3 linked regions of the Lonchura striata genome follow. The protein of the gene in region 2 interacts with the protein of the main gene of each other region in a pairwise test. Links are inferred from orthologs where the notes say so. Each region holds a gene or a part of one and is shown on either strand. Other genes may lie near its edges.

Evidence for each region.
Region 1: the proteins of NAB2 (region 2) and TCHP interact in binary tests that used the Homo sapiens proteins (3 or more experiments, as listed by UniProt). The two-hybrid records come from large-scale screens. The link is inferred for Lonchura striata from reciprocal best matches to the Homo sapiens genes NAB2 and TCHP.
Region 3: the proteins of NAB2 (region 2) and PHOSPHO2 interact in binary tests that used the Homo sapiens proteins (3 or more experiments, as listed by UniProt). The two-hybrid records come from large-scale screens. The link is inferred for Lonchura striata from reciprocal best matches to the Homo sapiens genes NAB2 and PHOSPHO2.

What each region holds. Positions count from the first base shown.
Region 1 is NC_134620.1:11,049,759-11,058,896, forward strand, and holds the start of TCHP (trichoplein keratin filament-binding protein), read right to left. Parts: upstream 3,581-9,138; 5' UTR 3,497-3,580; coding exon 3,449-3,496; intron 3,238-3,448; coding exon 3,181-3,237; intron 2,622-3,180; coding exon 2,553-2,621; intron 2,353-2,552; coding exon 2,182-2,352; intron 1,962-2,181; coding exon 1,849-1,961; intron 1,546-1,848; coding exon 1,479-1,545; intron 1,230-1,478; coding exon 1,057-1,229; intron 836-1,056; coding exon 754-835; intron 573-753; coding exon 387-572; intron 318-386; coding exon 231-317; intron 1-230. Other genes in the region: GLTP (glycolipid transfer protein), read left to right, coding at 5,924-6,041, 6,391-6,452, 6,642-6,775, 7,256-7,406, 7,570-7,752. UniProt on the Homo sapiens protein: Tumor suppressor which has the ability to inhibit cell growth and be pro-apoptotic during cell stress. Inhibits cell growth in bladder and prostate cancer cells by a down-regulation of HSPB1 by inhibiting its phosphorylation.
Region 2 is NC_134629.1:5,745,197-5,754,854, reverse strand, and holds NAB2 (NGFI-A-binding protein 2), read right to left. Parts: upstream 4,058-9,658; 5' UTR 3,999-4,057; coding exon 3,204-3,998; intron 2,984-3,203; coding exon 2,850-2,983; intron 2,382-2,849; coding exon 2,330-2,381; intron 2,167-2,329; coding exon 2,034-2,166; intron 1,948-2,033; coding exon 1,747-1,947; intron 1,654-1,746; coding exon 1,559-1,653; downstream 1-1,558. Other genes in the region: STAT6 (signal transducer and activator of transcription 6), read left to right, coding at 1-169; NEMP1 (nuclear envelope integral membrane protein 1), read left to right, coding at 6,714-7,074, 7,625-7,746, 8,694-8,904, 9,141-9,213, 9,315-9,408. UniProt on the Homo sapiens protein: Acts as a transcriptional repressor for zinc finger transcription factors EGR1 and EGR2. Isoform 2 lacks repression ability.
Region 3 is NC_134610.1:19,714,559-19,724,407, reverse strand, and holds the start of PHOSPHO2 (pyridoxal phosphate phosphatase PHOSPHO2), read right to left. Parts: upstream 3,581-9,849; 5' UTR 3,469-3,580; intron 3,322-3,468; coding exon of another isoform or gene 3,291-3,321; exon of another isoform or gene 3,266-3,290; intron 2,766-3,265; 5' UTR 2,764-2,765; coding exon 2,038-2,763; 3' UTR 1-2,037. Other genes in the region: CFAP210 (cilia- and flagella- associated protein 210), read left to right, coding at 3,291-3,321, 4,371-4,579, 4,829-5,002, 5,097-5,293, 6,203-6,359, 7,350-7,489, 8,325-8,517, 8,832-8,996 and 1 more. UniProt on the Homo sapiens protein: Phosphatase that has high activity toward pyridoxal 5'-phosphate (PLP).

The sequences.
Region 1 (9,138 bases), on a different chromosome or scaffold from region 2:
GCACAGAACACGATTTGAGGCATTAGCAACGTCTGCCTCAAAAATTCTTTAAAAGTTAGGGCCTAATATATCAATATCAGCAAAAAAAGAAAAGAGAGAAAACTGCAGAGCTCTGTGAGGGGAAGGAACTGTGTTGTGTCCTAGCACTGTAATGATTAAAATGCAGGTCGGAGACAAGGATGCTGTCACCTTCCATGATGGGCTCACGTGTGTGCCAGGTGTGACCTTACCCTGCCATGCCAGCCCTGCTTGGCCTCCTGCTGCTGGGCTGATCCCTCCTGCTGTTCCTCTTGCTCTCTCAAGCTGTGCTCTGTCCCCTGCACAGGGAATTCAGGTGAGATGGGGCAGCCTCAGCAGCCAGGTGTGTATTGGGGAGCTCAGCCTACCTGTGCCTGCAGCTCCCTCCTGCGGGCTCTCTGCTGTTCCTCCTCCTGCTCCTTCTCCCTGCGAGTCCCTTCCTTGGCCTCCTCGAGTTCTTTGATCAGCTGCTCTCGATATTTAATGGATTCTTCTTGGGCCCTTCTGTTTAACTCCATCTTCTCTTGGATCTGGCGCTGCCTGCCTGCAAGGACCTGTGCAAAGGGAGGAGATGGAGGGAGAAGATGGTTAAACAGTTCCCAGGAAACACACCAGACAAGGAAAAAAATTCCACCCCACCATGGAATGCTCTAACTCTCCAAAAGGTGGTGGGTTACAAGTGGAATGATGGTTTCATTGAGCCAAGGGGGACACAGCCTCAATAGAGGTCATCACCTCACTCATCAGGCGATCTCTAGCCACCTTCTCTCTTTCCCATTCTTCTTCCCTCTTCTCCCAGATTTTTTTTGCTTCTTCCCTAAAGGAGAGAGGAAGAATTATCTCTGAGGTTAACCCCCGTGTATACTCCACAGGCACAGACAAGCTATCCTATTCTTGAGGAGCACTTGGGTTTCTCCTCAGGTTTGTTCCCTGCCAGTTGATGTGCCCATCCCACTTGTGCCTCTCAGTGACCCCCTAACCTGGAACATTCAGCACACACGGACTCCTCAGGTGAGGTTCAGAGGTGGGCAGACTCACCTGAAGATAGTCTCGAGCTCTGCTTCCCTCTCCTTTTCCAGCTGGAGCTGTTCCTCGATGACCCTCTTCATCCAGGCCACATCTGCCACCGCCCGTCCCCGCCGCGCGATCTGCCAGCTCTGATCCTCCTCTTCTTTCTCCAGGAGGGCTGATAAGATTTGCCTGTCTGTCTCCTGGGGGAGAAAACCACGAGATTAACAACTCTCCATGTGCAGGGCTCCTCTAGGCATTACTGGTGACAGTGACAAGGCTGTGCTCAGCAAGATGCTCCATCTGCTGCTTCCCCGTGAGCTTTGTGCTCCAGCCCTGTGCACAAGCCAGAAGGGGCCTCCTCATCTGTAGGAATCAAGAGGCAGAGGCAAACCACACACAACAGGTTTTTTCACCACACAGCATCTGTGAAGTATAAATTAATCTCTTACCAGCTCCTCCTGTACTTGCTGTGCTCGTCTCCTTAACTGGATGTCACACTGATGCTTCAAGAAGCGACTGAAGGAGGAAAAAAAGTAGAATTTAACAAAAAAAAACAAACCAGAATCACACTGACTCTAAAGCACCATGTCACTGTACAGCTGCACTCGGAGAGGTGCATCTGTGACAATGAGGAACCTGCTACCAGAAACAAAAAGCAGGAACAGCACCAGTGCCTTTGCTCCCTGGCTGCTGTGGGCAAATCCACCAAAACCCAGATATTTACATCTTACCACTGCTACCTAGAATATCTCCTTGTGCCCCAACTACTGCTGTGGGCACAGTAATTCTATCCAAAACAAGCTCCACTTGATGTCCTACCCAAACTCGCTCTTCCTCCGGTGCTCTTCCATTTGTTTCCTTTCTTCTTCCAAATTCTTCAGTTCCCGCTGCTGCTTTAATAAATTCTCTTGTTCTTTTTTCAGCTTTGTTGCCTAAAAAGGAAAACGCAAACACCAAGAGAGAGTACATCAGAGAGCTACAACATCCCAGAGAGCAGGCTTGACCAGAGTTTGTACCCTGTTCTGCTCCTCTGCAGGCAGGGAAAGCCCTCCCTGCAGTGCAAACATGGAGAGAAGAGGTCAGGTCAGCCCTGCTGTATTTCCAAGTGAAGCAACAAATTCCTTTCTCCAATGAGGAGAAAGTCAAGATTACCTTTGTCTCCTGCAGTTTCAGTTCTTCTATCTGCTGAAGCAAGGCCTCTGCTTGCTGCTTCTCCAGCTGAGGCTTCTCTTCGTCTTGTCTTGTTCTTTCCAGCGCTTCCCCTCGTGCCGTTTCGTACTCACTTTCATAACGTTTCTTCTCTTCAAGTTTGGTCACCTCTTCCTTTCCCAAAGAAAAGAAAACAGCATTTCAGGTTAGCCTGACACAAAGAAACAACTTCTGGCTCAGAAAATCCAACAGGCTCCTGCAAGCTGTTAGTGCCCTTCCTGGCATCAGCTCCCATGGCACAAGTGTCACCCCTCCACCCACACACACATTTCAGAGTCTTCTCAGTGACCAGAACACCAGGGTTGCCCCCATACCTGGTTTTGTTGTGTTAGCTGATCACTCCAAGCCTCCCTCACGTGCTTCCTGTGCAGCTCAGACTCTGCCTGGAGACACAACAGATGCAGCAGGGTCATCAGTGCCAGAGGTTCTGTCCCCCAAGGTCTTCCAGACTCTCTGGCCCTGAAATCCTAAGAGGATCTGCCTCTGCAGAGGTGGGCTCATCTGAGTGTCTGAGGTGCCCACCAGGTCTTGAGCTGAGGTCATTGTCACAGTGACAGTGATACAGGACTGCAATGTTGCAGCAGCACGTGGGTGGAATAAAGAATGAGGAAGCACCACAGCACGGCAGGTACAGCTGAGATATTAAGGTTTATATTTTTATATTATTTATATATTATGTGCCTGAGATATTTACTTGTGAGCTCTGAAAATTTGCTCAGAGTCTGAACAGATTTCTGACTTTTAAAAATACAGCTTTGAGAGGGCTCCTTAAAACTATTTCAACCCTTCAACCCTTTCACTTCTTTGCCTTTTGTTTATCAGAATTCAGGGCAGTTGCTGTGATGCAAGATGAGTGACCACAGTAGAGATATGATGACTTTCAAGTTAAAAACCGGTTTAATAAATACAAGGCAGCAGGGACTCAAGAGGAAGCAACATCACCTCTCGGAGCTGCGCGTTGTTTTTGTTCCAGCGCTCCTGCAGCGGCGGCTCAGCAAACTGGGAACACAGAGCTGGGTCAGGTCAGGACACGGGAGTGCTCGGCATCCCAAACCTCGCCGAGGCTGAGTTCAGGGCACCATGAGGTGACAGCTCCAGCAAGTTGGAGTTGGTACACTCCAAGTCCCGCTGGTACAGCTGAAGCACGGAACGGCCCCTCACCGGACGAGTCCCGGGATGCGGGACCAGCACGGCCGGGCCGCTCCCTCACCTTCCTCCCGCACTCTCCGAGGCCGTCCCGCAACTCCCGGCTCCGCATCCCGCCCCGCCGCCGCTCCCGCAGCTCCGCCGCCAGCGCCTCCCGCTCCTCGCCCAGCAGCCGCTGCAGCCGCTCCCGCCGCCGCTCCAGCCGCGCCGCCGCCTCCTCCGCGTCCCGCCGCGCCGCCGCCGCGCTGCCGCACACACCGGCGGTCAGCGGCACCCCCGCACCGCCCCGGGGCCCGCCGGACCGCGGCCGTACCTGGGCGGGGGGACGCGGGGCTCGCTCCACCGCGCCTGCAGGGAGCAGCAGGCGGCGGCGCGGGCGAAGGCGCGGCTGGTGCTCTCCCACTGCTGCCGGCTGCGCTCCTGCAGCTCCCGCCGCTCGGCCGCCCTGCGCTCCGGGCCGCGGCCCCACCGCCGCCACAGCGACATCGCAGCGCGCCCGCCCGCGACGGCTCCCGCCGAGGGACACGGCCAGACGGGCTCCGCGAACACGGAGGGAGGCGGGGACCGACGGAGGGAGGCGGGGAGAGAGGGAGGCGAGCCGGGAGGGACGGGGGATGGAGAGGCGGCGGGGTTCGGGTCGCTCCGAGCCGCGCCCCGAGCGCTCGCAGGATGCGCGGATGGAGCCCGGGCCGGGCGCGGTGCCGCCGTGCCGGCTGGGAGCGCGCGGCACCGCGGGGTTTGTGGCGCTGTAAACGTTTCAGGGCTTAAAGGTTCCTGTTTCTGCCCGCCTTGGCACGGCACCAGCGCGGCGCCACCCGCAGCGAGCCCAACCGGACCGGCCGCTGCGTGACCCGGGACAGCCCGGGCACTGCCGGAGGGGCTGCGGGCATCCCGAGATGGCTCAGGGCATCCGGAACGGGCTGGGCACCGCCGGACGGGCTGTGGGCATCCCGAGATGGCTCAGGGCATCCGGAACGGGCTGGGCACCGCCGGAGGGGCTGCGGGCATCCCGGGATGGCTCAGGGCATCCCGGGACAGCCCGGGCACCGCCGGACGGGCTGCGGGCATCCCGAGATGGCTCAGGGCATCCCGGGACAGCCCGGGCACCGCCGGACGGGCTGCGGGCATCCCGAGATGGCTCAGGGCATCCCGGGACAGCCCGGGCACTGCCGGAGGGGCTGCGGGCATCCCGGGATGGCTCGGGGCATCCCGGGACAGCCCGGGCACCGCCGGACGGGCTGCGGGCATCCCGAGATGGCTCGGGGCATCCCGGAACGGGCTGGGCACCGCCGGACGGGCTGCGGGCATCCCGAGATGGCTCAGGGCATCCCGGGACAGCCCGGGCACCGCCGGAGGGGCTGCGGGCATCCCGGGATGGCTCGGGGCATCCGGAACGGGCTGGGCACCGCCGGACGGGCTGTGGGCATCCCGGGATGGCTCGGGGCATCCCGGAACGGGCTGGGCACCACGGGAGAGGCTCCGTGAGCCCTGGACATCCCAGGACAGGCTCCGAGCACCCTGGGATGGGCTCGGGGCATCTCAGGCACCGCGGAACTGGCTCCTGGCACCCCGGGAGGGGCTTCAAGCATCCCGGGAGGGGGTCCGGGCATCTCTCAGGACGGGCTCCGGGCACCGCGGTAATTCGGCAGCGGGGAGGGAGGCGGCACCAGCCGGCAGCTCCCCGCACCCGCCCTGCCCGCCACCGATCGCTATCGCCCCACGACCTGTTTTTCCAGCATAACCAGTCCAAACACCGCATTTGGGGCCCCATCACCGGCCAGCCCGCTCCGCACGCAGCGGACGGGGCTGAGCCTCCCTCCGCTCCCACCTCTTCTTCACCTCTCCGCGTCCCCCCCCCCCAGCTCGGTGTCATTTTCCCCACCCAACCCCTGGGGCTGAGGTGTGCCGTCACATCCCGCGCGCGTTGAGGTTTGTTTTCCATCTGTTCCCTATCAAATATTTATCTCCCGTGAATAATTAACGCCGGCCCGCCCGGCGCTCGGAACGCGGCCGGGGCAGCGCACGGCCAGACCCCGAGTCTGAGGGGGCGATGAGGGCGTGGCCTCCTATTGGGCAGAAAGTCCCGCCCTTCGCCGCTCCGACCAATGGCTGCGCATCGGCCGTACGGCCGATGCGCAGCCATTGGTCGGAGCGGCGAGGGGCGGAGCCTGGCGTGGGCGCGCTGCCGGGTCGGCCCCCGCTGCCTCAGAGCCCCCTCAGCCGGGGAGCGGTGAGGGGGGGAAAGGAAGGGGGCTACGCTGGTCATGGCGCTGCTGCTGGAACACGAGTTCAAGCCGCTGCCGGCTGATAAGCAGATCGAGACTTTGCCTTTCCTGGAGGCCGTGGCGCACCTGCCTCCGTTCTTCGGTGAGACCGGGGTGGCCGGGGCTGGGAGATGCGGGCTGGCATCAGGCCTGCTGTGGGCTCAGTCGCTCTGGGGTGCATCTTCCCATTTCTGTGTGGTGACCCCCCCCACCACTACCTGATCCAGGGCTCACGCCGGGCTTGGCTGCTCTGCCAGGGCCGCGGTTGCATCACGATGCTGTCAAACCTGCCGAGCAGCCCCGTTGGGAAAAACGTCCTGGTGCAGGAGAGAGGCATCGGCGGGACAGGAGCTGCCATCCCACCCATGGATCCCACGCCGTGTCGGGACACGGGTGGGTGTTCGGCGTGGCCGCCCTCGTGGCACAGTGTGCCCTCCACAATGTCAGCTATTGTGTGGCAGCCCCGGAAGGGCAGGACGTGGGGCTGCCTGCCTGCGGACGGGCAGGATGTTCCAGGACCTTCTGCCAGGGCTGTGTCCAGCAGCCAGGGGGATTGGAGGTCACTGGTGGGGCTGTAATAAGTGGCAGGGCTGTCCCAAGGGCCAACAGCCATGTGTGAAGCTCAGAGATCCTTACTAGTCTCATTGCCGGAGCTGTGGTTAAAGTGAAACCTGTTGGTAAGGGAAGTTTGTTGTCCCCTGTGCCACCAGTGTCTAACTGTCCTCCCTCCCTGTCTCCACAGATTGCCTGGGGACTCCTATCGTCTATTCGCCGGTCAAAGCAGACCTGACTGGAAATATCAAGGTAGGAAGGGACTCAGGAGGGCTCAGAGAGGAGAATCCCTGGGGAGAAACCTGTGGGAGGTGTTTCAAAAGGCTTTTCTTCCCGTGAGGACTTTGGGCTCAGCAGTGGCTCACCCGGTCACAGGTTTATTCCCAGAGCTCCTGCTCAAAGTCCCTGCTCCCGGGTGCCAATCCCCTTTTCTGCCCGCAGAAAATCCGGGCGGTTTATGACTCCAACCCTGCCAAGTTCAAAACGCTGCAGAACATCCTGGAGGTGGAGAAGGAGCTGCACGGCTCGGCCTGGCCCAAGACAGGCGCGACGCTGGCGCTGATGTGGTTGAAAAGGTGACTCACGGCGTCGGGAGCTGCTCCGGCTGTGTCCCGGCATGTGGGGAGCTGGAGAGCTCCAAGTGGAGGCTGCGTGTGCTGGGCTGGTCCCTGTGGGCTGGGCAGCTGGCAGTGGGGTGCTGTGTTTGGCTGTTGGGAACTCCTTCCTCAAATCTGGCTCCCCAAGAATGCAGAACCTCAGAGCATGAGCCCACAAATTGGACAGGTCAGGAGGAGCCTGCAGTGCCTGGAGGATCCATCCACCTGACCCTGCCCAGCTCAGCCCTGGCTTCACCCAGGGCTTCCATCCTGCCCTGGGTGCTCCATCCAGCCCTTCTCTCTCTCTTCCCTGGATGTGCACACAGGGACAGGCACCAGCTCTGTGAGAGGGATGCACTGCTGGGACTCTGGGTTTTTGGGATGCTTGGAAACACCAGGCTGGAAGCTGGGAAGCAGCACCCACTTCCCTGAGCCAAACATCTCTGCTCTTCTCCCCAGGGGTCTGAAATTCATTCTGGTGTTGCTGCAGAGCATCTCTGATGGTGAGAGGGATGAGGAGCATCCCAACCTCATCCGAGTGAACGCCTTGAAGGCTTATGAGATCGCACTGAAGAAATACCACGGCTGGATGCTGCAGAAGCTCTTCACGGTGAGCATTCCCTCCCTCTCCAAGCATCCAACCACCATCCCTAAGGCTGTTCCCGTGCACTGACAAGTGTCTGGAGATACCACAGCGTTGGCACATAGGAGCAACCCAACCTATGGTCTCTGTTGGGTTTGTGGGAGCCAAACACCCTCTCCCTGTTTTACAGGGCTCGGTCTATGCTCTTCCCTACAAATCCGATTTGCTGAAGGCCTTGGAGAAGGGTAAAGAAGTCAAGGAAGAGGAAAGCATAGAAAAAATCCACCAGTTTGTCACGAGGGTCACTCCAATCCTGGATGCAATTTATGAGATGTACACGAAGATGAACGCTGAGCTGAGCTACAAAGCCTAAAGCTGGCACAGGATTGGCACAGATTAAATAACGTGTGATGGGTGTTACCTATGTCTTCATCACTGAGGCAGCTGGGGTGGCTCCCAGCTCTCTGGTGACTTCGATTCCTCTCTGGATCTGCAGTGGATAACGTCTTTTCTAACCAAAAAATAACAGTAATTAACTTTCTATTAAGAATACGGCAATAAAACAATTGTGGGTGTCACCCTTGGATTTCCCAAGAGGAAGAACAAGTGTTTCTAGGCCCAACTCCTGGATTCCTGTCTTCAGTGGAGCAGGGAATGAAGTGTCCTGGTAGTGAGTGAAGTGGCACTCGGCCTGTGCCTGGAACCCGCTGACGGGCACCTCGTGTTGATTGGCACTGGATAGTCCGGAATGATGCCCATGGAGGAGGAGCTGATGACTCTCCCGGGTGATCCCAACTCCTCCAGTGCTGGCATGGGATCAAACCCCTGTGCTGGGATTAACCAGGGACTGTCCCCGCGGTGTTTGCGGTGCCTTATGAGCCCCCCTCGCCTCCCGAGCCCCGGCGGGAGCAGCAATTAATAAAAACTGACAGTACCCGTGGCCTGGGAGCCTCATTTGGGGCTGTGGCAGCCCCAAAGGGTGTTTGGGGAGACTGTTTTAGGGAAGGTGTTTTGGGGCTGGTCCTGGCAGGGCTGTTTTGGGTAGGGAGATTAAGTTTTTATTTCCTAGGAGAGCTGTTTGGAGGAGAATGTTTTGGAGCTGTTCCTGGGAGGCTGTTGTGAAGCTGTGTCCTGGGAAGGCTGTTTATGGGAGGGTTTTTGGAGCTGTTCTTTGGGAGGGCTGTGTCAGAGACGTTTTTCCTGGGGGCTTATTTATTTGAAGGGTATTTTGGGGCTGTTCTTTCTGGGCTGTTTTGTGGCCGGTGCTCCCGGGGACGGGGAGGGGCGGGCGGGGGCCGATCCCGAGGGCGGGTCCCGGTGGCGCCTCCGCCGCTGGAGCCGGGGCCGGGGCGGGGAGGGGCCGCTCTGGGGACCGGCCCCGGGCGACTCGGCGGCGCCGGAGCCTGCGGGACTTTCCACGGGACCTTTGGCGGTACAGAACCGGGGGAGCGGGCAGAGGGGCGGACAACCGGCAGTGGGACGGGACGGGACACGGGCACCGGGGCTGGATGGAGCGGGGACGCGGAAACTGGGGCAGGATGGGGCTCTCCGGGCAGCACACGGGGACCGGGGCAGGATGGAGACCCCAGGTGAGGCTGGGGTCGAGGGCTAAGCTGGGCAGGGCCAGGTGGACCCTTATGGATGGCCCGGCACTGTGCAGACAGCCTGGGGACTCATGATCTGAGATTGAGGTGCCGGGTGGGTTCCCAGGCAGAGCTTTGAGGAGGGGGCTCCCACCGGCTCCGAACCCCCCGTGCTG
Region 2 (9,658 bases):
CAGCATGGAGCAGCCGTCAGCCTCGGAGTTGGAGCAGCTCCTGGAGGTGCCCCTGTTGCCCCCCTTCGCGCCCCACCCGCAGCACAGCGGGTACCCCAATTCCAGCCTGTCCTCCTGGGGGCTGGGGGACGCGCGGTGGGATGACAGCATCCGGCCAGGACACGCGTGAGGGGGCTCCTGGGGGGGGTGAGCATCGGACTGGGGACCCCCCCCCAAATCTCTCCCAGCCTTGCCTGGGTTCATGGACTCGATACTACTCCTTGCAGGAGTGGAAACTCCAGCTGGGAAAAGCGGGGTTGGGGGGATTTGGGGTAACCCTCGTCCCTCCCCCCTCCGTGCATTGCTGCCCGCCCCCGCCGCTGCCGGGGGTCCGCGGGTGAAGGGGTGCAGGCGCAGGGGCCCCGTCCTGCGTGGGGAGCACCGGCAGCCGCACGCGGTGCCCCCAGCCCACGCCGCCGGGATGAGTCACCGCGGGGGCGGGAGGCGGCAGCGCGAACGGCGCCGGGGCGGAGGTGCCAGCCCGGTGCCCCCGGCGGGAGGGGGTGGGAGGGGGACACCGAGACCCCCATGGAAAGGGACACGGCCCCCCTGCACCCCCGCTTGCTTTGGGGTTTTGAGCTGTTTCCCCTGCCCCTCCCTCCAGGCTGGAGCAGGGGTTAGGAAGATAAGCCATAAAATAAAGTTTTATTCCAAAATAACAAAATAAATAATCTACTGTACACGGTACAAAGGAAGAGTCGCTAATGCTCTAAAAAGACACCACACAGTCCTAACGGGGAGGGGGGGGCGGGGGTTGAGAACCCCGGGGCTGGGCACGGCTTGTAGGGGGGAAAAGGAGGAGGAACCCCGAGGGTTTTTTTTGGGGGGGGAACAGCACCTCCCCAGTGCCCGTCAAACGCCGCCTGCGTCGTGCTGGGAGGGGGTGACACCCCACGGCACGTGTGGCACCCCCCGGCACAGGGACCATGCTTGAAGCACACGCAGGTATCGGGGTGCGGGGGGGACGCGTGCGGGGGCTGCGGGAGGAGGGTGGGTGGGGGGTATTTACAGCCGATGCGGTGCTGGGGCGGGGGTCGCAGGGTGGGCAGGGGGGGTGCACAGTGAGCTGGCACGTGCTGCGGGGAGGGGGCTGGCGGCTGGTGCGTGGGCGCTGCGGGTGGGGGGGGTGGCGGACGGGACCGTGTGCCCGGCGTGGGCGGCAGCGCTGACGTGGGAGCGCACAGTGCGACGCGTCTGTCCCCACGCGGGAACGGGCCCGGGGTGGGGGGGACGGTCAGCACGGGGCTGTACAGGGAGCTCCAGTCCATCGAGGGCTCCCCAGCCCTGGGGGACGGCGAGGGAGCGGAGCCGGGCGGGATGAAGGTATTGCTGCTGCTGGGAGTCGCATCCCGCCGCGGCTGAGGTAACCAGAGCGTCGGTGTGGGACGGGAGGGGGCCGGGGGGGCTGTGGATGAGACCCCCCCCCGCCCACCAAGCTCCCCCGGCCCGGAGCGCCGCCGCACCCGTCCCCCCAGCACGTTATTGCTTCGTTAATGGTGGCGGGGGGGCTACAGGGGCCTCACTGCCTGCTGGTCTCCTGCTCCACCTTGATGGTGCCCCGAGGTGGGTCTGGGGGGGCCGGCGGACCCCGTTCTGCCAGCCCGTCCTCGAATTCTGTGGGGAGAAGACGGAGATGGCGTCAGGATGGCGATTCTACAGGAGAAGGCAGCGGTGCCGTCCTGCCCCGCCGGCCCCGCGGGGGCTCACCTGGTCCCGGGGGCTTCCCCGGCAGGCAGGGGCTGAGCCGCCCCACGCGATCGTGGGAGACCAGGCGGGCCAGGCGCAGCCCCTCGTCCATCAGCGTCTGCTGGAGGATGTGGCGGCTCCAGAGCCCGTGGGGCGCGAGGCCGAGGGGCACGTCCGGGGCCGCACCGGGCGGAGGGGTCAGCCGGGGACAGGCCCCCGCCGCTGCCGAGAGAGGGGTGACACTCAGCGCCAGGAGCCGGGGCACGACCACCACCAGCCCCCCAGGAAAGGGAAGGACCCCCACTCACCCTGCAAGTGGCCGTCGAGGCTCTCCCCGGAGAGGCTGCCCGTGTCCTCCTCCACGCTGGCTCGGTACCCGGCCCCGGGGGGCTCCAGCCCCACCGGCAGTGCCAGGAGCTCGGGACGGCTCTGCTCTCCCGCCTGCCAGGAGCACACAGGTGAGCAGGTCCCCCGCAGCACCCACCCCAGAACACCCACAGCCGTCACCCCAAGCTGGCATGGGCAGCCCCGGGCACGTTGCGCCGTCACACCCACGCTCACAGGTGTGCACACCTGCACACGCTCCCCCTGCACCTGCACCCACCTCCTGCTTGAGCCGCTTGGCCACGACGGCGCCGCTGTCCTCGGGATGGGCCCTGGGGGTGGAAAGGGGCTGTGTCAGGGGTGGGGGTGGCCGCAGCAAGGCACCGCGCTGTGAGCGGAACCGCCAAGCAGGGCAATGCCAGAAGCTGGGGATCTGGCACGGGTGGAATTGGGGGCGGAAAAAGAGGGAGGCAGCTGGAGAGCAAAGGGAAAAAGCAACCCTGGCAGAGCGGGCAGGGGACTTTGGGGATGGAGGCAAGAGATAGGGCATCCCCAGCGGCATCCCTTTGCTGCCTGGCATCCCTTCCCACGCCTGGCATCCCCATCATTCCCATCCTCCCCACATCCCACGCTCCGAGGTCAGGCAGAAACCACCCACATTGGCAAAAGGGAACTGGGGGCTGTAGGGTCCTGGCCCCATCCAGAAGTGCTGGATCATGGTGCAGGTCCCAGGGGGCAAGGGGGTGACAGCCAGGCCCCACCAGGCCTGCAAGGGGGGGTTTTCCCAGGTGTGGGCTCACCTGGCGACCTTGAGCGAGGACAGGTAGGTGCTCTCCCGTGCCACCTGTCGTGACAGCGAGAAGAGCTCGACGCGCCGCAGCAGCAGCGAGTTGTCCCGCAGGCAGAACTGGGCGGCCGCCTCATTGATGATGAGCTGGGGGCAGAGATGATGCGTGAGCGGGGACAGGGACGGCAGCGCCCACGGGACAGCGGCGCCCACGCAACCCTCGGCTAAGGCACCGCCGGCTCCAGGCTGGTGGATGCAACCGGCGTGGGAGGAGACCTCGAATCCCACCCACTCACCACACCCCCAGAGCCACCCCGGTCCCTGTCCCAGCCCAGCACATCTCAGGAACTTCAAGCACGGAGCCCACCTCGTGCAGGGTGAGCTGCTTGCCCTCGCGGCGCCGGGCCTCGCCGCGGCCGTAGATCGCGCTGTGCCGGCGGATCTCCTCCTCCTTCTGCCGGTCACCATCCTCCAGCTGGAAGATGTGCCCCACAGCCTTGGCCAGCTTCTTGTTGAGCTTCATTAGCGCCCGCAGCTCGGCCTCGCCGCCCCGGGGGCAGCTCTGCAGCAGCCGCTCCACGCTCTCCACCACCGTCCGTGCCAACTCCGGCTCCAGCTCCGTGCCCACCGCCTGCTCCCCGCTGCTCCCGCCCGGGGAGAAGGGGGGACCGCCCGGCTCCTCGTCCCCACCACCCTCCGACTCGGGGGTGCTCCTTCCCGGCCACGGTGGAGCCGCTGACGGTGACAGCTTCTCCCCTGGCTCCGTGGGGCTGCGGGCTGGGGGCGTCCCGGCGCTGCCGCCCCCCTTGCCCGCGGCCTCGCCGGGGCTGGCGTGCCCGTTGCTGAGCGCCTTGCGCCCGCCGGCCTCGGAGAGCTTGAAGAGCGGGATGCTGCTGACCGGGACAGCCGAGACGGGCTGGCTGAAGAGCCCCGGGTTGGAGGCCCACTCGCGCAGGGCCTTCTGGAGGCGGCGGACGTGGAGGGGCTTGGTGGCCATGCCCACCAGCGCCATGATCTCCAGGAACTCCTCCTCGCCCGCCTCGCAGAGCTGCTGCACGTCGTCCCCCCCTTGCTGGATGAAGGTCTCGTAGTAGCCCAGCAGGTTGGCGCGTTGCAGCACCCGGTACAGCTGCAGCTCCCCCAGCGTGCGGGGCAGGGCCATGACGAGCCTGTGGTGGACAGAGGACAGACGGACTCACCACCGGGATGGACGGACATGCAGGAGAAAGCCCCTCCCCACCCTGGGGCCTGGGGGTACAGGGCAAAGGGAGCATTCCCATGGATGGGTGTTCCAGTGTCCCTAAACCCCACGGGGTGCCCAGTCCCACCCATGTGCTCCGGGCTGGGACGGTCCCTGCGGCCACAGTCCTGGGTATGACACAGACATGAGTGGGGTCACTCATCCCAGCCCCTACCCCTTACCCTGGGCTGTGCCCAGCCTCTGCCCCCACCCCAGCCAGCAGCCCCTCCGTGCCAGGTCCTCACATGGAGCAGGATACACATCTGGGGGCTTCCCCCAGCCCCCCCATCCTCGGGGGGATGTGCCAATGCCGATCCTATGGCCAACATCCCCCAGCCCCTGCCCTGCCCGTGCCCTGTTCCCCCGTGGTCCCCTGGATCCCATCAGGGCCATCCCTCCCTGGTGACCCCGCCCCACTCGGTGCCCCCATCCCCACCCCGGTCCCACCAGGGCCATCCTCCCCCAGCGTCCCCGCAGCTGCTTGGTGCCCTGCCGAGCCCCGAGCCCACCCTGTGCCCCATCCTCCCCCATTCCTCCCGGACCCACCGGGGTCACCCCTTCCCTGGGCTCTGCTCTGCCCGGCGACCCCCGCCGTTCCATCCCCCCGCCGTCCCCACGGTTCCTCAGTGCTGCCACGGCCGCCGTTCCCCCACGAGCCCGCCGACCCCTCCCGCTACCCTCCGGTGCCGCGGTGTGCCCCCGGTCCCATCCTCTCCCCGTGCATCCCGGCGCGCCGGACCCGCCCGGAGCCCCGTAGCCAACACCCCGTGGGCCCCCCGCCCTGCTCGGTGTCCCTCGTCGCTCCGTCCCCCTACGGTCCCTCCACTCCCACCACGGCCACGGTCCCCGGGACTCCCGCCCCGGCCGGTGCCCCCCGGTGCCCCGTCCCCTCCCGCCGTCCCCCGCTTGCTCACCGCCGCCTGGAACCGCCTCCGTCCGCTCCGCCCGCCCCGCCGGGCGGCCGGCGAGGGGCGGGGGGGCTCCGGGGCCGGCTCTAGCCGGGGGTCCGAGGGGTGCCGGGGCTCGGGGGTCCCGCGGCCGGGCCGGGCGCTCTCTCTCCGCCGCGCCGCGCCGCTCTGCGCGCCGCCCACACGGGCGGGACCGTGAAATAGCAGCGGCCCCGGCTGCGCCGCGCGTGGGAGGCCCCGGGGGCGGATCCCGCGGCTGCCGCCCCCGCCGAGCGCGGGGGGGGGGCAGCGGCGGAGGCGGCAGCACCGGCCCCCCTTCTTCCCCACCCCCCCCCGGCACCGGAGCAGCGGGAGGAGAGCGGGAGCGGCGCCCCGCACGGCGGCATCGGGGGTCCCGCAACCCCGGCAGGGACCGGGCAGGACACGCGTGGCACGGGGGGCCCGTGGGAGAGGCAGAAGCCCGCTATGGGGACGCAGTGCTCGGTGTCGGCGCGGACACCCTGAATCCCGGGGGTCCCGCGGGCAGCGCTCGCAGCATCCCCGGTTTCGGTGGCAACCCGACCGGGAGCGGGGATGCTCCGGGTAGCGGCACCGCTGTCCCGGCAGTGCCCCCCGGTGCCGGAGCCCTTGCGGAGGGCTGGCACTCGGTGTCACCGGCACGCACACGCTGCCATCGATGGGCTCCGGGGGGAGCGCGCCAGCGGCTCCCCGGAGCGGCGAGAACGGGAGCGCACGGAGGTGTCTCGGGTGGGCTGGGGGGATGCTGAAGCCCCTCGGCGGCAGCACCGGGGTCCCTCCCGCGGGAGGGGGGGTGTCACGGCCCGCACCCCGGTCCGGCCCTGCGTGCCTCGGCGCTATTTATACCGCGGCCGGCGCCTGGCGTGGGGCCAGAGCCGCCCCCGCGCGATCCTGGCCGGGGGGCCGTGCCGGTGCCCGGGGCACATCCCCGGTGCTGCCGGGGGATCCCGCACGGGCACGGTCCCCATGGCGGGGGTCCTGCCCAAGCCCTCCCGGTTCACCCCCTCCCCACAGCCCCCCTGTCACTCCCCCCGCCTTCCACGACCAAGCGTCCGGCGCGGCGGGGCCGTTCCCAGCCCCGGCGCTGCCCCCGGCTGACGCACATCCTCCGCCCACGGCCCCGCCGCTTCCCGGCTCCGCCGCCCACGGCCCGCGGAGGGGGAGCGGGGGGGCCGCCCGAGCCCGCTCCCCGCTGCCCGCCCACGGGTGGCCACCGCCCCACGGTGGGGGGCGGGGGGGAACCCGCGCGGAGAGCGGCACCCCCTTCCCGGGACTGGGGGAGCCTCGCCGCGAAGCGACAGACGGTGCCGGCAGCGGGGCGAACCGGAGCCCCCGAGCCGAGCCGCCGCTTGACCCGTGGGATGCGGGACCCCCTCCGCGCCGCGGGTCACCGGTGACCGTCGTGCCACGGCCGCGCTGGCAGAGCCCCGTGCGGGCCGGCGGGCCCCGGGCCGGTGGGAGCGGCGGGCCCCGGGCCCGCGGGTTCGGCGGCCGCGGGAGGGGCGGGGGGCGAGGGGCGGGACCCGCGCGCCCCCCACGCGTGACCCGTTCGCGCCAACACCGCGAGGCCGCGCCCTGATAGGCGGAGGCGGTTGTCAATCACACGGGATACCCGAGGGGTGGGGGCGTGGCTTGTGATGCCTGCGCTCTGATTGGTCGAGGGGCGAGTCTGTCAGAGCCGTTACCAGGGTGGGGCGTGGCTGTTGAGTGAATGGCGGGCAGGTTGGTCACCGTGGTAACCGAGGGCGGGAACATGGCTGCTTCCTGCATGCTCACTACTGATAGGTTAAAATCTCTGTCAATCAACCTGGCAGAAACAGAGGGGAGGGGCGCGAGATCAAAGCTGAATTTTGATAGGTTAAACCAACTGTCAATCGACGACAAAGCCCGGCGAGCGCCTCTCCTATTGGCTGTGGACTCTCCTCGGCGGCGGGACCGGGCGGAAGCGGAAGCGGCCGGTGCAGCCGCGGCGGGAGGGATGAAACCGGCGCCGGGGCGGCAGCGGCTGTCGGGACTGCCGGTGGTGCTGCTGCTGTTGTTGTTCCTGTCCTTCCTGCTCCTGGAAGCTGCAGGTGCGCGGGACAGTGGCGTCCATGGGCGGGGACCGGGGGGAGTCATAGTGGGGAGCGGGGCAGCGGCGGCTCCCGGGGCGGCGTGGCGGGACCATGGGACCGGCGGCGTGGGCCACGGGGAACGGCCCGGTGTCCGCTGAGAGGCACCTTCCGCCCCCAGGGAACACTCTGAGCGCTTCCCGGGGCCGGTGCGGCCCGGTGGGACCGGGCTTTCGTGTCCCGGTGTCCCGCCGCGCCGATCTCCCGGTACCATCGGGCCTCGATGCCGTTCGGGAGCCGCTTCACCTCGGGGGGCGAGTGCGTGCCGGAGGCACCCTCGGGTTTGTGTCGCTGAGGTGGGATTTTGGAGCTGGGAGTCGGGCCAGAAGGGACGCGGGGATGGGGATGCGCTGATCCCGACAGGGCACGGGGTTATCCCAGAAAAGAAGCGAGGGCGAATTCCGAGGAAAACAGCGGAAATACCGTGGGGAATATGGCAAAGTGGAGAGAAGGGGTTGGGTGGGTGAAGCAGGGGCAGCAAGGCCTGAGCCCTTCTCTCCGTGCTCGCCAGGCCCCAAGGATGCGATCGTGGCGCTGCAGGAGGGCCACGCGTCCCAGCACGGGGAATCCCGGCGCTTCTGCTACACCAACACCCGCGTCCCGCGCTGGAACGACGTCTGGACCAGGACACAGGTGGGGGCAGCAGGAGGAGGCAGCAGATTGTCCCTGCTGCAGCCCCTCCGTTCACAGAATTCACAGAATCACTGGCTTGGAAGAGACCTTCGAGGTCATCCAGTCCCACCCAGCCCCAACACCTCAACCAGAGCCCGGCAGCCAGTGCCACACCCAGGCTTGTGTTCAACACACCCAGGGGTGGTGGCTCCACCACCACCCCGGGCAGAACATTCCAGAGCTTTGACTGTGACATTCACATTTTTTGGACAGAGAGAGGCAGACCTCTGTCTCTCAGGAGGAGAAAAGAAAACAATCTTTATCTCTGTTCTTTTGTTTTCTCTATGTGGGATTTAGTATAAAGGTTGTTTTCTTCTCTCTGTGCTTCAGAGACAGAGTTGTGTCTCTCTGTCCAGAGAATGTGAATGTCACATACAAGTCTTTCAGTCAAAAACCTTTTCCTAATACCCAACCTATATCTGCCTTGGTGCAGCTTGAGACTGTGTCCTCTGGTTCTGTCCATTCCTGGAGAAAGAGCCCGACCCCACCTGAGCACAGCCACCTTTCAGGAAGCTGCAGAGAGCAGTGAGCTCATGTGGGTCTCAGATTCAGTCAAAGAAAGAAACTGAGAGTTTCTAGCCAGGCAGACACCTGGGAAAGAGCTGGAGAGAATGTAAATAATTCTTTATCTCTCTGTTTTCCACTTTGTTTATAGTGAAGTTCTATCACTGTGTGACAAGCACTCTGCACCAATGCTGTGGGTTGTTTTCACTTCAGGACCAATGGATTTGATCCTCATGAAGCTCTGTATAAAAGAGCAGTGTATTTTGGATAAATCAGAGTTTTACTCTCAGCAGCCTTCTGAATCAGAGTCTTCTCATTCCCCTCCTGCCTCGACAGCAACAGGCTCCCCCCTGAGTCTCCTTTTCTCCAGGCTGAGCTGCCCTGTTCCCCTTCTCTTCCCGCAGATCCGCGTCACCAGCAGCCGGATGATCCGCGTCACCCAGGTGGACAGCGAGGAGGAGCTGGAGAAGTTCAGCCTGTGGAACGTGCTCTTCTCCTTCCTGCGGGGCAAGCTCAACGACACCAGCATCGACGTGGATCTCTACAGCAACAAAACCTGCCTCAAGGTCGAGCTGCTGGAGCCCGGCACCACCTACTCCGTCGTCCTCTTCCGACGTACGTCCCCTCCCCGCTGCGGGAAGGGGGCCTGGGGCTGCCCAGGGGACAGCAGGACAGGGCAGCTCATGATCCAAGGACCTGTTCCTTCCTCAGGAAGGGAATTCGGTCTGCAGAAGGAATTTGGGGCACTTGGAGGTCCCATCCTTGTGACCCTGTGGCAGGTGGGAGCTTCCCACTGTGCCCCTCTCCACTGGGATTAATTTTTGGTTTTGTTTTATTTTTTTTTTTGCCAGGTTTTGACCCTAAGCTGTTCCTTGTTTTCTTCCTGGGCCTGCTGTTGTTTTTCTGTGGGGACACAATGAGCAGGTGAGCCCCCTCCCTTCCCCGGGGGCTCCTGGGTGGGGGTGTTTGTGCACAGGCACCCATAAAACACCTGCTGTGATTGATTCCCTGTGTGATCACTGCAGGAGCCAAATCTTCTACTACTCAGCTGGGATCAGTGTTGGCTTGCTGGCCTCGCTGCTTGTCCTCGTCTACATGATGTACAAGGTCATGCCCAAGGTAGGTCTCACATCTTGATGGGGTCAGAGGCCTCGTAGCCCTTCCTATACCTGTACTGGGATGGGCTGGGTTTGGTACGGAGCAGCTCAACACCTGGGGCAGGTATGCACAGCCTGCCTGCAACCTGTGAGAACCCCAGGCTTGGTCTGGGGTCTCGTGTGGTGGTGAAGTTTCTCGTCCAAGCCGTGCTTCCAAAGAAAAACTCCGCAGCCTTTTGATGTTCGGTCTCAAGGCAGTTTATTGTTTGTTG
Region 3 (9,849 bases), on a different chromosome or scaffold from region 2:
CGGGCGTGGGCTGGGCATCCAGCAGCGGGTGCTGAGCAATGTATTCTACATCACTTGTTTCTCCTGCACTTCATTCCTTTCTCTCTCCTTTTCATTACAATTATAGTAACTTAGTACTACTATATTTTATTTTGTTTCAATTATTAAATTGTTCTTATCTAAACTCATAGGATTTAATTTTTTCACCAATTCTCCTCCCCACTCAGTGGGGGATTGGAGTGGACAAGCTGCTCTACTTAGCTGCCATCTGGGGTCAAATGATGGCAACAACTTCAAACTCAAAGTAATATATGAAATTGCCCTATGCAACAGCCATTACCATTCTTCTGTATGACCTGTAAACCAGACAACTTAAACCTGCCACAGCCTGAGACCCACCAGTCCTTCAATGTCTTTATGCCTTTGAGTAAAACATTAGGCTAAGATCCCAAATATGAACATCTCAGACACCTACCAAATATCCATCACTAAAGCCAGGCTCCTGAGAACTGAAGTATGTTGCTTTGGACATCTCAGGCAACAGACTGTTCAAAGCAACTTTTTACAATACAGTAAAATAGGTGAGGCAAGGAAAGAAGTGCACAAGGGAAATTTGTGTAAACCAGCAGCCTGAAAACAGGCAAGACCACTCAAAAATCTTCAATTAAGGAAAAAGAAGACAGTGATAGTACGAAATGTCAATAAGAAAATAAGAATAACCTTGCACAGAAAACAAAGGAAGACAGATATGGCAACTGCAGGCTGCTGAGCTACTCCTCAGACATCTGCAACTGAGGTATTGTGAAATTTGGCCTAATCTCTCAGTTATTAAAGCACTTAAGCTAAATATGACCTCAGTTTAACAGCAGATTGCATCAGCATTTTGAACCTTTTCTGAGATATAAGAATAAAAACATTTGGCATGAAAACACATTATTTAACTTTAATGAGACTTGCTTTTAATACCTTTATATGGACAGTCCAACACTTGGGGCTCACCTCACTGCCAGTGGAAAGACTGCATGGTCACAATTCTTCAGAACTACTTAGAACCATCTGTTTAAAAGTTAAAATGGACATAGATACTTCCTTCCAGACTGTAAGAGATTGTGCTGTAGATATAAATGAGAATGAATAGGTAAAATCAGTGTATGCGTGTATATGTATGTACAATTCTGTGAGCCTGTGCACTGCAGCAGAAACCAAGGAGGAAAAAAAGCATCTGGCTGAATCAGAGCTGCCAGCATGGAAGATCAAACCACTGTCAGCTCTCTACAGGGTGGCAGCAGCATGCTGTCGGGGCAGTAGTCAGAATGGGAGTGAGACTTTTCTTTTAAACAAAAAAGCAACATCCTTGCAGCTTTCCAGAAGAGAAACAGTATGACCAGCTAAAGGCTTACACCTACACTTGTGTCTATTCTCTCCAGGCCTGATGAAATACAGGCCAGCAGAATACATGACACAAATTAGTTGTGTTGCATTTTTCAGTGACAGCAACTTTTATTGTCTTTACAATACAAGATAATACAAAATATTAAGAAGTAATTTTGTTCGGTGAAATAATTAGTAGATTGAAAATATAAATGCATCTTCAGATTAAATAAGATTACAAGCAAATAATTTGCCATCAGATCAAAGAAGTATAAAGGCCAACAGCTCTAGAACCATGCTCCTGGCAGCTAATGTTTCCTAAGTAAAGGATTTAATTCTTTTGAACAGGAATCCTACTCCTTCCCCTAAGTGTGTGGGATTGCAAGTATGTATCAGTTATATACTTGTAAAGGGTTGGAGGGGAGGGAGTAGCCAGAAACTAATGACAAGTCCTGTCCCAACATTCCTTCTCCACTTATGTAGGAATCTGTACTGTGTTAGAAGGCCTTTTTACTGAGCTTTCCCATTATCACCAGGATTGAACATAAACAGTTTTATGTTGTGGTTAAAACCCTCATAATTTCAGATAATAGCCCAATTTTACAATTTTGAGCTTTTATACACATGCAGTTTTTCTCTCCCAGTAAGTTAAGATGTAACTGCATCAGTTGCCTTTTATCATTTGAATCATTCCTTTATAAGCAGTTTCAGGTAAGACATAATGTCAATTGCAGATGACCAAACCAGAACAGAACACTGTACAGGACTGAGACTTTGGGCCAGTTGAGAAATCCTTTTCTCCAAGGTATATCCCTGCCTGGGCATAGCAATATCATTCTTCTTCAAAAACATTACTGGACATAAGTCATTCCCACCATCACCTATATATATAATCTGTGTATAACTCACTCCTCGCTCCAACTGTTTATCTAGAAATTCTTTTAAAACTTTCCTTTTGCAAAGGTTTTTAGGGCACTTTGCACAATGGTGAGCATGGAAATGCTGTACAGTAAGATAGCCAGTACTGCTGAATGTGGCAGGGTTTGTAAACACTTCATCAAACACTTTATGGAAGTCAGCAGCTTTCAAAATCCAGTCAATAAATACTGTATTAGAATCTGAAACAATTATACAATCAAACAACTCTTTGTTCTCGCCAATAAATCCCAGAAGATCTATCATTCCTGCAGTGAAAGGGATTGTTGTCATAGTTCTTTTCATCTCTTCTTCTTTGACACCATTATCTCCCAAGTAGACAAAGACTCTGCCCATATATTCTGTCCAATGTCCTGGTTGGTAAGAGTTTCTTAATTCATTAGGAAGTTTTCTTTCAGGAGCACATTTCACAATCCAGGTGTCACTATTTTCATCTATGATTGTATGGTCAAAATCAAAAACCAACAGAAATTTCATAGCTGTGAGAAAACAGTTTCCAAAACAAACAAATAAGAAAATTATTTATATAAGCAGAAGTACTATATTCTTACCCTGACCTTGTGCTCAGAAGAGAAAAATTCTGGAGGAAAATACTGGAACAAAATAAACCATTTATGGCCATTACCAAGATGGGAAAGTTGTGCTGTAGCTAAAAATGCAATTTGTAAATGCCAAACTTCAGTGTCCAACTTCTGTTATAAATAGTAACCGTGACAGTATCTAACTCATGCTTACTAATACTTCCTAACGCAGCACCAATGTTCCATATTCACACACCATCAGTTTGAGCAGATACCAATTTCTCCATCAGCACTTGCCAGCGCCAGCAAACCGGGATTCTCGTGGCGGTGTTTCGGAAGGACACGCCCACCGTCGTTCGAGCGGACGGAGCCCGCGCGCTCCACGCGGCCGCGCGCGGTCGCAGCGCCCCGGGAGCCCGGCCCGCCGCGCCCTCACGTGACCGCGGCCGCCGGGCGCCCGGCAACGGCGCGCGGCCCGCCAAGATGGCGGCGGGGCGGCGGCGGCGCGGCGCCCGTGAGTGCGGCTGCGCCGCGGGCAGCGGGACCCGCGGGAGGGCTCCGGGAGGCTGCGGGTGCTCAGCCTGACTCTCCCCAAGGCTCCCCCAGCTGCAGACCGCAGGAGGGGCTGTCTGTCCCTTGGAGCCGAGCGGAGAGAACTGACCTGACGCAGCGCAGGCCCCCGAACCTCCAGGGACAGCAGCTGGGGAAGAACGAGGGGCTTGCCAGAGTCCTGCCTGCAGGGCACGGCCGCATCAGGGCGCCTTTACTTCTGCGGAGGCTGTCTTCACCTAGGACAGAGGGAGAGGATCGGGTTTGACCCCTGTCGGGAAACCGGTCAGCAACGGCATCTGGAGAGCCGACTTTGACACCGGTGTCACTCTAATAGAAAGCCTCCTTACCTTTCAGACGTGGCCTGTCAGTCTGCTGCAAATCACACAATTTCTGCAGAATACCACTCTGTACAGAGTGCCACTTCCTTCAAAAATGGTGGTGACACTTGAAAGTGCATTTTACAAAACCTAGACATCAACTAGAAAAGCTGCATTTATGCCTGCACATATGTATGTGAGCGTAATGCAACAAAGAAATCCTAGTCTTGCTAACAAATCAGAAACTGTTCTACAGCAGAACTATTTCAGTAAATATGATGAGTATGTGCAGGACATGGTAGTAAGGCACAGTCTGTGTCCAAACTGCTGCCTCATCCAGCCAGCAGAATGGCTTTACCAATATTCTCCTCTTCATTTAGGGAGGTCTCTGCCCCCTGCTGTTCTAAGAAGCATGCCCAAGTACTGCCTGGGAAGTGTGTTACTACAAGCCAAACCCACACATACACACAAACAGCCCAGTCAGTCAGTGCCCATCCAAGTACATGCACTGGTCATAGGTAGGCTACAGATACAGATACCCTGTCTTAGCTCTGGGGTTCGGGGATGAGGGACTAAGTAATGCTAAGAATAACCTAGTATTGTTACCATTCCAGCATTCAAATCCTGATGCATGTTTGATTATTGGATTTTCTGGTATCAAGTAACCCTTGTATTTTATCTTCCCTCTCCACAGCACATCATTGGAAAGAAAGGGATGTTCTAGATGAGTATTTCCTTCCAAATGAAGCAGATCTTCATCAGGTCATTATATTGCCAAAAGCAGAATGGGAAAGGATTCAGGGCAGCACTAGAGAAGCAGCACACATCGATGAGAAGAAAGAACAGGATGAAGTGCACTTGGAGTCCAAAGCTGCTGGCGAAGACCCGCGCAGTGCGGCCCTGGTAAGTACATTTGAAAACAAGGGTAGCTGCTTTTGTATATACAAATATACAAAAGATATATAGAATTGTAACATTTCTAGCTATACTTCCTTTGTTCAACATTTTCTTTTGAATAGTTATTTCAGCTAAATGCCATTTAGATACATTTAACATCTAACATAAACATTTATTTTTTACTTAAAGCTGAAATGCAAAGTAAAAAACCAATCCAAAATTTAAGTGTGATTTCTAATTTTGTCTGCACTATAGAACCTGATACAACAGAAACTTCAAGCCAAAAAACTACGTGAAGAAAAGGAAGAGGAAGAAAGAAAGTTAATTGATTTGGAAGAAGCAAAGTTCCAAGCAGCAAAACGGAAGGAGGCTATTGACCGTGCAAAAACCTACCTATCTAATCAGGATGACAGAATGAGACAGTTCCATGTTTGTTGACAGCTTATATTTTTTACATTGGAATTGTACTGAATGTCTCTAAATACTTCTGAATATGAAAATGACTTTAAATGTTCTCTTGCAGAGTGCACTTCTACTTACTAAGGTCCTAAAAGAAAGAGATGCTCAAGTTGAATTTCTTAAGTCAAGATTAGCTGATAACAAAAAGAGGGACTATGAAGAAGAGCAACGTCAATTTAAAGAATACATTATTAGCGAGCAAGAAAAAGCACATCAGCATTATATGAATCAACAGGCACTATGCAAAGATCAGTTACAACAGTAAGTAGTAATTAAAAGCAACCCTACTTCATTATTTATTTAAACTCTTCTCAAAATACACTCCATGAGATTTTTACAGAACTTGCTAATAATTTGTCTCACAAATGCCATACTTTTAAAAGCAGATCACAGAAGATCTTGCCCAAAAGGGAAAAGCTATATGCGTTTTTAGTTGCTAACAGTTTGTATGCAAAATTGCCTCTGGGAAGCATCAGCAGGTTTTAGTCAAATCACTGTTAAAATGTTGTTAATGAAATTTAAGTGTACTTTACTCAGTTTTTGTTCCAGACAAGGAAAAGGTTAAATTAGATTTTCCATTTACCCATAATGAGCTTCCAGACTGCACAACAAGAGAAGGCATTACTGCCACTTCTATTCCTTCTCTCAGATTTTCCATAAATCTTATGGAGGGGTCCCCAGTGGTATTTATAGGACTGGCCCTAATGGTCTGATAGAAAGAATCAAACTTCCCAAGGCAGAGGAAGGGTTCAAATCTGGTCTTACATATTCCAGGTGCAAAACATAGATTCTTACAGAACTTAGTATAGAACATTACCAGTTTGAGCTGCTGCCTGCATGCCCAGAAGAAACACAGGTATGGTGGGTCATATTGGGGAAATCTTGTTCTCCAAGAATGCTGCAGATATAGGCCAGAGCATTACCAATGCAGTGGTGCTAATGAGTCATCCAACTAAAATTTAACACCACAAGACTGCAAACTGTGAGCATACCACGCAGATCATTTCTGACCAGGGTTACCATTACAAACAATCATGCTGTCATTCACCTCTGATATTCTACCTACCTTCAACTCAAAGTATCACATTCTTCAATGCAAGGTACCTATGGTTATGCAGTTCATTACTTCATGTAGTTCCTAGACAATTTATTCACCTTTTTCTGATTCAGAATAAAGGAGCATGAGCATCAGGCAGATCTGGCCAAACAGGAAAAAAAAAGAGAAGAGGAAGAACTACAGAGATCAATTCAACTGTACCAACTAGAAATTCAGAGAAAAAAAGAAAAGGAACACGAGGAAAAACTTGAACGCCGGAAGCTGTATCATGTAAGTAGCAGGAAAGCAGACAGTTCAAAATGCCTATTTTCACCTTGGCTGTGATGGTTGGACTTGGCCCACAAATAAACAGGATTGTGGGTAACAGGGTCTTTGCTGACAGTTTTAGTAGCCTGGTATCAAATGCCTACCCTGCCAATTGCAGGCCATCTGTTTTCTCTGTGCTTTTGAGAAAGACCTCTTGGAGGCCCCTCCTTTCTGTTGTCTGACAGGATGTTGGCATTTAATCCTTTGACTGGTCTCTGGTTAAAGATTTGACTGAAAACATCAAGGAATATCTCCTTGACTTGAGAACTGGATTTAAGTTTCACATTCCTGGTGTTTTAAGCCCATTTTTCTTTGTTCGAAAGAGGGAATAGTGACTGAATGTATGTTTTTGACTAGATATTTATGATTGGAGAGGTTTAGGAATTTAGTCAAGACTTGCTGCCACCTCATTTCATCTTTAAAGGCATCCTACTAAGGTACAAACAAGAAGTGCCTCAGAGCAGTTCTGGCCAGAATGCAAAAGACAGTTGTTTTTTTACATAAAAACCCTGTGTTTTCCTACTGTGTTTTGGATGAAGCTCTTAGACGGGGTAGTTTTGGATGAGGTGGGGTCAGGAGCAGAATGATCTGCGTGTGGGTGGTGGTTGGACCATCCCCCTCGCCTGTTTGTGTGTGGGAGTATGGGACAATGCTCTCTGCATCACACAGCAATTTGTGCAATGCACCAGAGAAGCAGCTGTTTGATGCTCAATTCCTTTTCCCCACCCTCACATCTACTGTCTCCTCTTGATGCATGTTTGAATAGAGAGGCAGAAGTAAGTGGAAGTATCCCTTTTCTGTCTTCTCTCTCCTTTCCTGAGGATCCCTTTTTTCTCTTATGTTTTTAAAAGAAACTTGAGGAGGGGGAACAGGGAGTGATTCCTGTAAGCTGCTACCCCAGGTCCAGATATTCTAAACATCATCTGTTACATCAGGACCATTTTGCCCATACAGGAGTATGTAAATGACCAGAAAATAATCAAAGCAATAGAGGAACAAAACCGAATGGAAGAAGATGATCGGATCAAAGCTCATTTTAAAGCAAAGGAAATTATTGCTCAGATGAGAAAAAAGAAAGAAGCTGAAATGCGTAGGTAGGTACAATGCTAGGGTATAAATTGTGAATAATCTAAAAATGATACTGTAGTTGTTTTCAGATCATTTAGACTAATGATATAACACAATTTACAGTTATTCTAAAACATTATTCAAAATTCTACTGAGAGGGAGAGCAGGGAATTCAGGAGAAAAAGGAATTCTTTTCACAGGCTCCTTACTAAGTGTGAGGGAGCAATCTCTCCACCTTTCAAAGTACAGAGGCTTATGAAAGTGCAAAGCTTTGCACCAGTGTATTTTGAAGAGAGATTTTCCATATGGCCTACCAGATCTCCACCTCCTCAACAATTAAAGACAATTAAGATCCTTGATGAAAATATTGAGTATAACCTATATTTCTCTGAGTCAGCTCAAGAAAAATGATATGACTTCTCAACAAGGCACATACATTAATTAACCACATTGTGTTCTTACAAAGGGGAAAATATTTTATCAGTTTAACATTGCAGGTACTAGATGATGATACCACTGAGTCAATCTAAGAGTTTTCTTCCCTTCCTGCTTCTGGACAATACTTCCAACATTCCCCTCCTGATGGCAAGATGCTCACTGGAATTGTTACCGAGTGATCCAGCTCATTATTGCTGCAGAAACTAGTACTACAAGAACACTGGGAACATTTATTTGCTAAATCAGTTAATATAAAAATAAACCAAACAGGAGGAACAGAAGGAGATCATGAGTTAGGTGGGTGGGCCAGTCTGTGTGGTCAAGAGGAGAGAACTCTAGAGGCAGAATTGCTGAGTTTGGTAGCTTCAGGCAGACCCAGGAGTGTTGCTCTCGTATATTATGGAAGCTCATGTTCTTCTGCAGACAAGTACAGGAACAACAGGACAAAATCAGTAGTCGATTAGCGGAACAAATGGGTGAGGCACTAAAGAAGGAAGATCATCGACTGGCTAGAGATGTGGCAAGAATAGAAGCTGAAGAAGAAAAAAAACGCAAAGAGAGAGAAGCAAAACGAAAGGCTGCCATTGAATCTATTGCTGAACACAGAGCCACTGTGGTAAGAAACTTGGGCTACTTCTGCTTACTCCAGCAGAGGAGCCTGGCCCAGACCACAGGCAGCGACTCTGGTGCCATCAGCAGCAGGCTTCAGCAAGTCTGCTGATGCCTTTCCTGGAGTCCCCTCTCCCTTTCTCCCTTCTGTGTTGGGTGCACCTCTGCCAGGGCTGCTGAAACCCTGGGCTTGGACACTGGCCAGCCACAGCGACCGAGCTCATTGGGGCACTGATTCAGGGCTGCTTCTGCAGAGAGATCCAACTTCCAGCTTAGCAGGCCAGCTCCTTGGTTAACTTTTGTGTGCTTTGTAAACTACAGATGAAGTTGAAAGAGGAAAAGGAGAGACAGGAGAAAGAAGAGGCTGAAAAAGAACGGGATGTGTTAATGGAAAAAGCCCGCATCCACCTGGAAATGGAAAACAACAAAAAACATGGACGGCATGAGGCAAACAGAGAAGTACAGAAAATTCAGCTCCAGCAAATGGTAAATAGAAAGCTGTACCCTGTCAATCCCTTCAGAAAGAAGGTTGCAGCTAAACCAGTACACTAGCTCCTGCTGAGAGAAAGAGAGGAAGTTTGCTGTTTTGTTTGGATTTTATTGTTTCATGGGTTGTTTTTAATCATATGTGTTCAGCATATGCTGGTGTTGGAGACCAGCATTCTCAGAACATTGTCAAGGCTGGTTTGCAAGGACAGATCACATCCTGTCCTGTGCCATTAAGACATTTTTTCAACCATGCACTGCTGTGCTCTTGTATCTTCTGGGCAGGTCACCAGAGAGCAGCAGCTAATGCTGATGTTCACTCAGCTATTTAATGTACCCTTTCTGGGGAAATAAGGCAGGGGACAGAAGTGGAGAGGGATGCTAAGTGCCATGTGTCAGCTAAGGATGCCATAGACCTGTAAGCTTTTATCCTCTCTCAGCTTTACAGGATGGTGATGTTGAGAAGAAAATACTAAGTTTTGTTATTCCTTTTTCTTCATCAGGCTGAAAAGCAGGCAAGAAAAGAGCAGGAAAAGCAAGCAGAATTGGACTACAGTGCTCAGAGAGAGGCTATTGCACTTTCTAAAGAGCAAGAGTTTCAGAAATATGCAAGGGAAATAATTGAAACAGAATCCAAGAAGACACATCATCTTTATCCTCTTCTCAAAGCATGGGAAGAAGGAAGAAGACTTGGATGTGGGCCATTTTTCTGAGAGAAGAAGAAATAAGTACTACTTTCCAAATATATAATTCTATGTTGGGGCCCAGTTACCTTACTGTAGCTGTATTGCTGCTCAAAAAACAAAAACATAAAATAATGTTTAAACTGTCCACCAAGGAAAGGCAGAGGCAT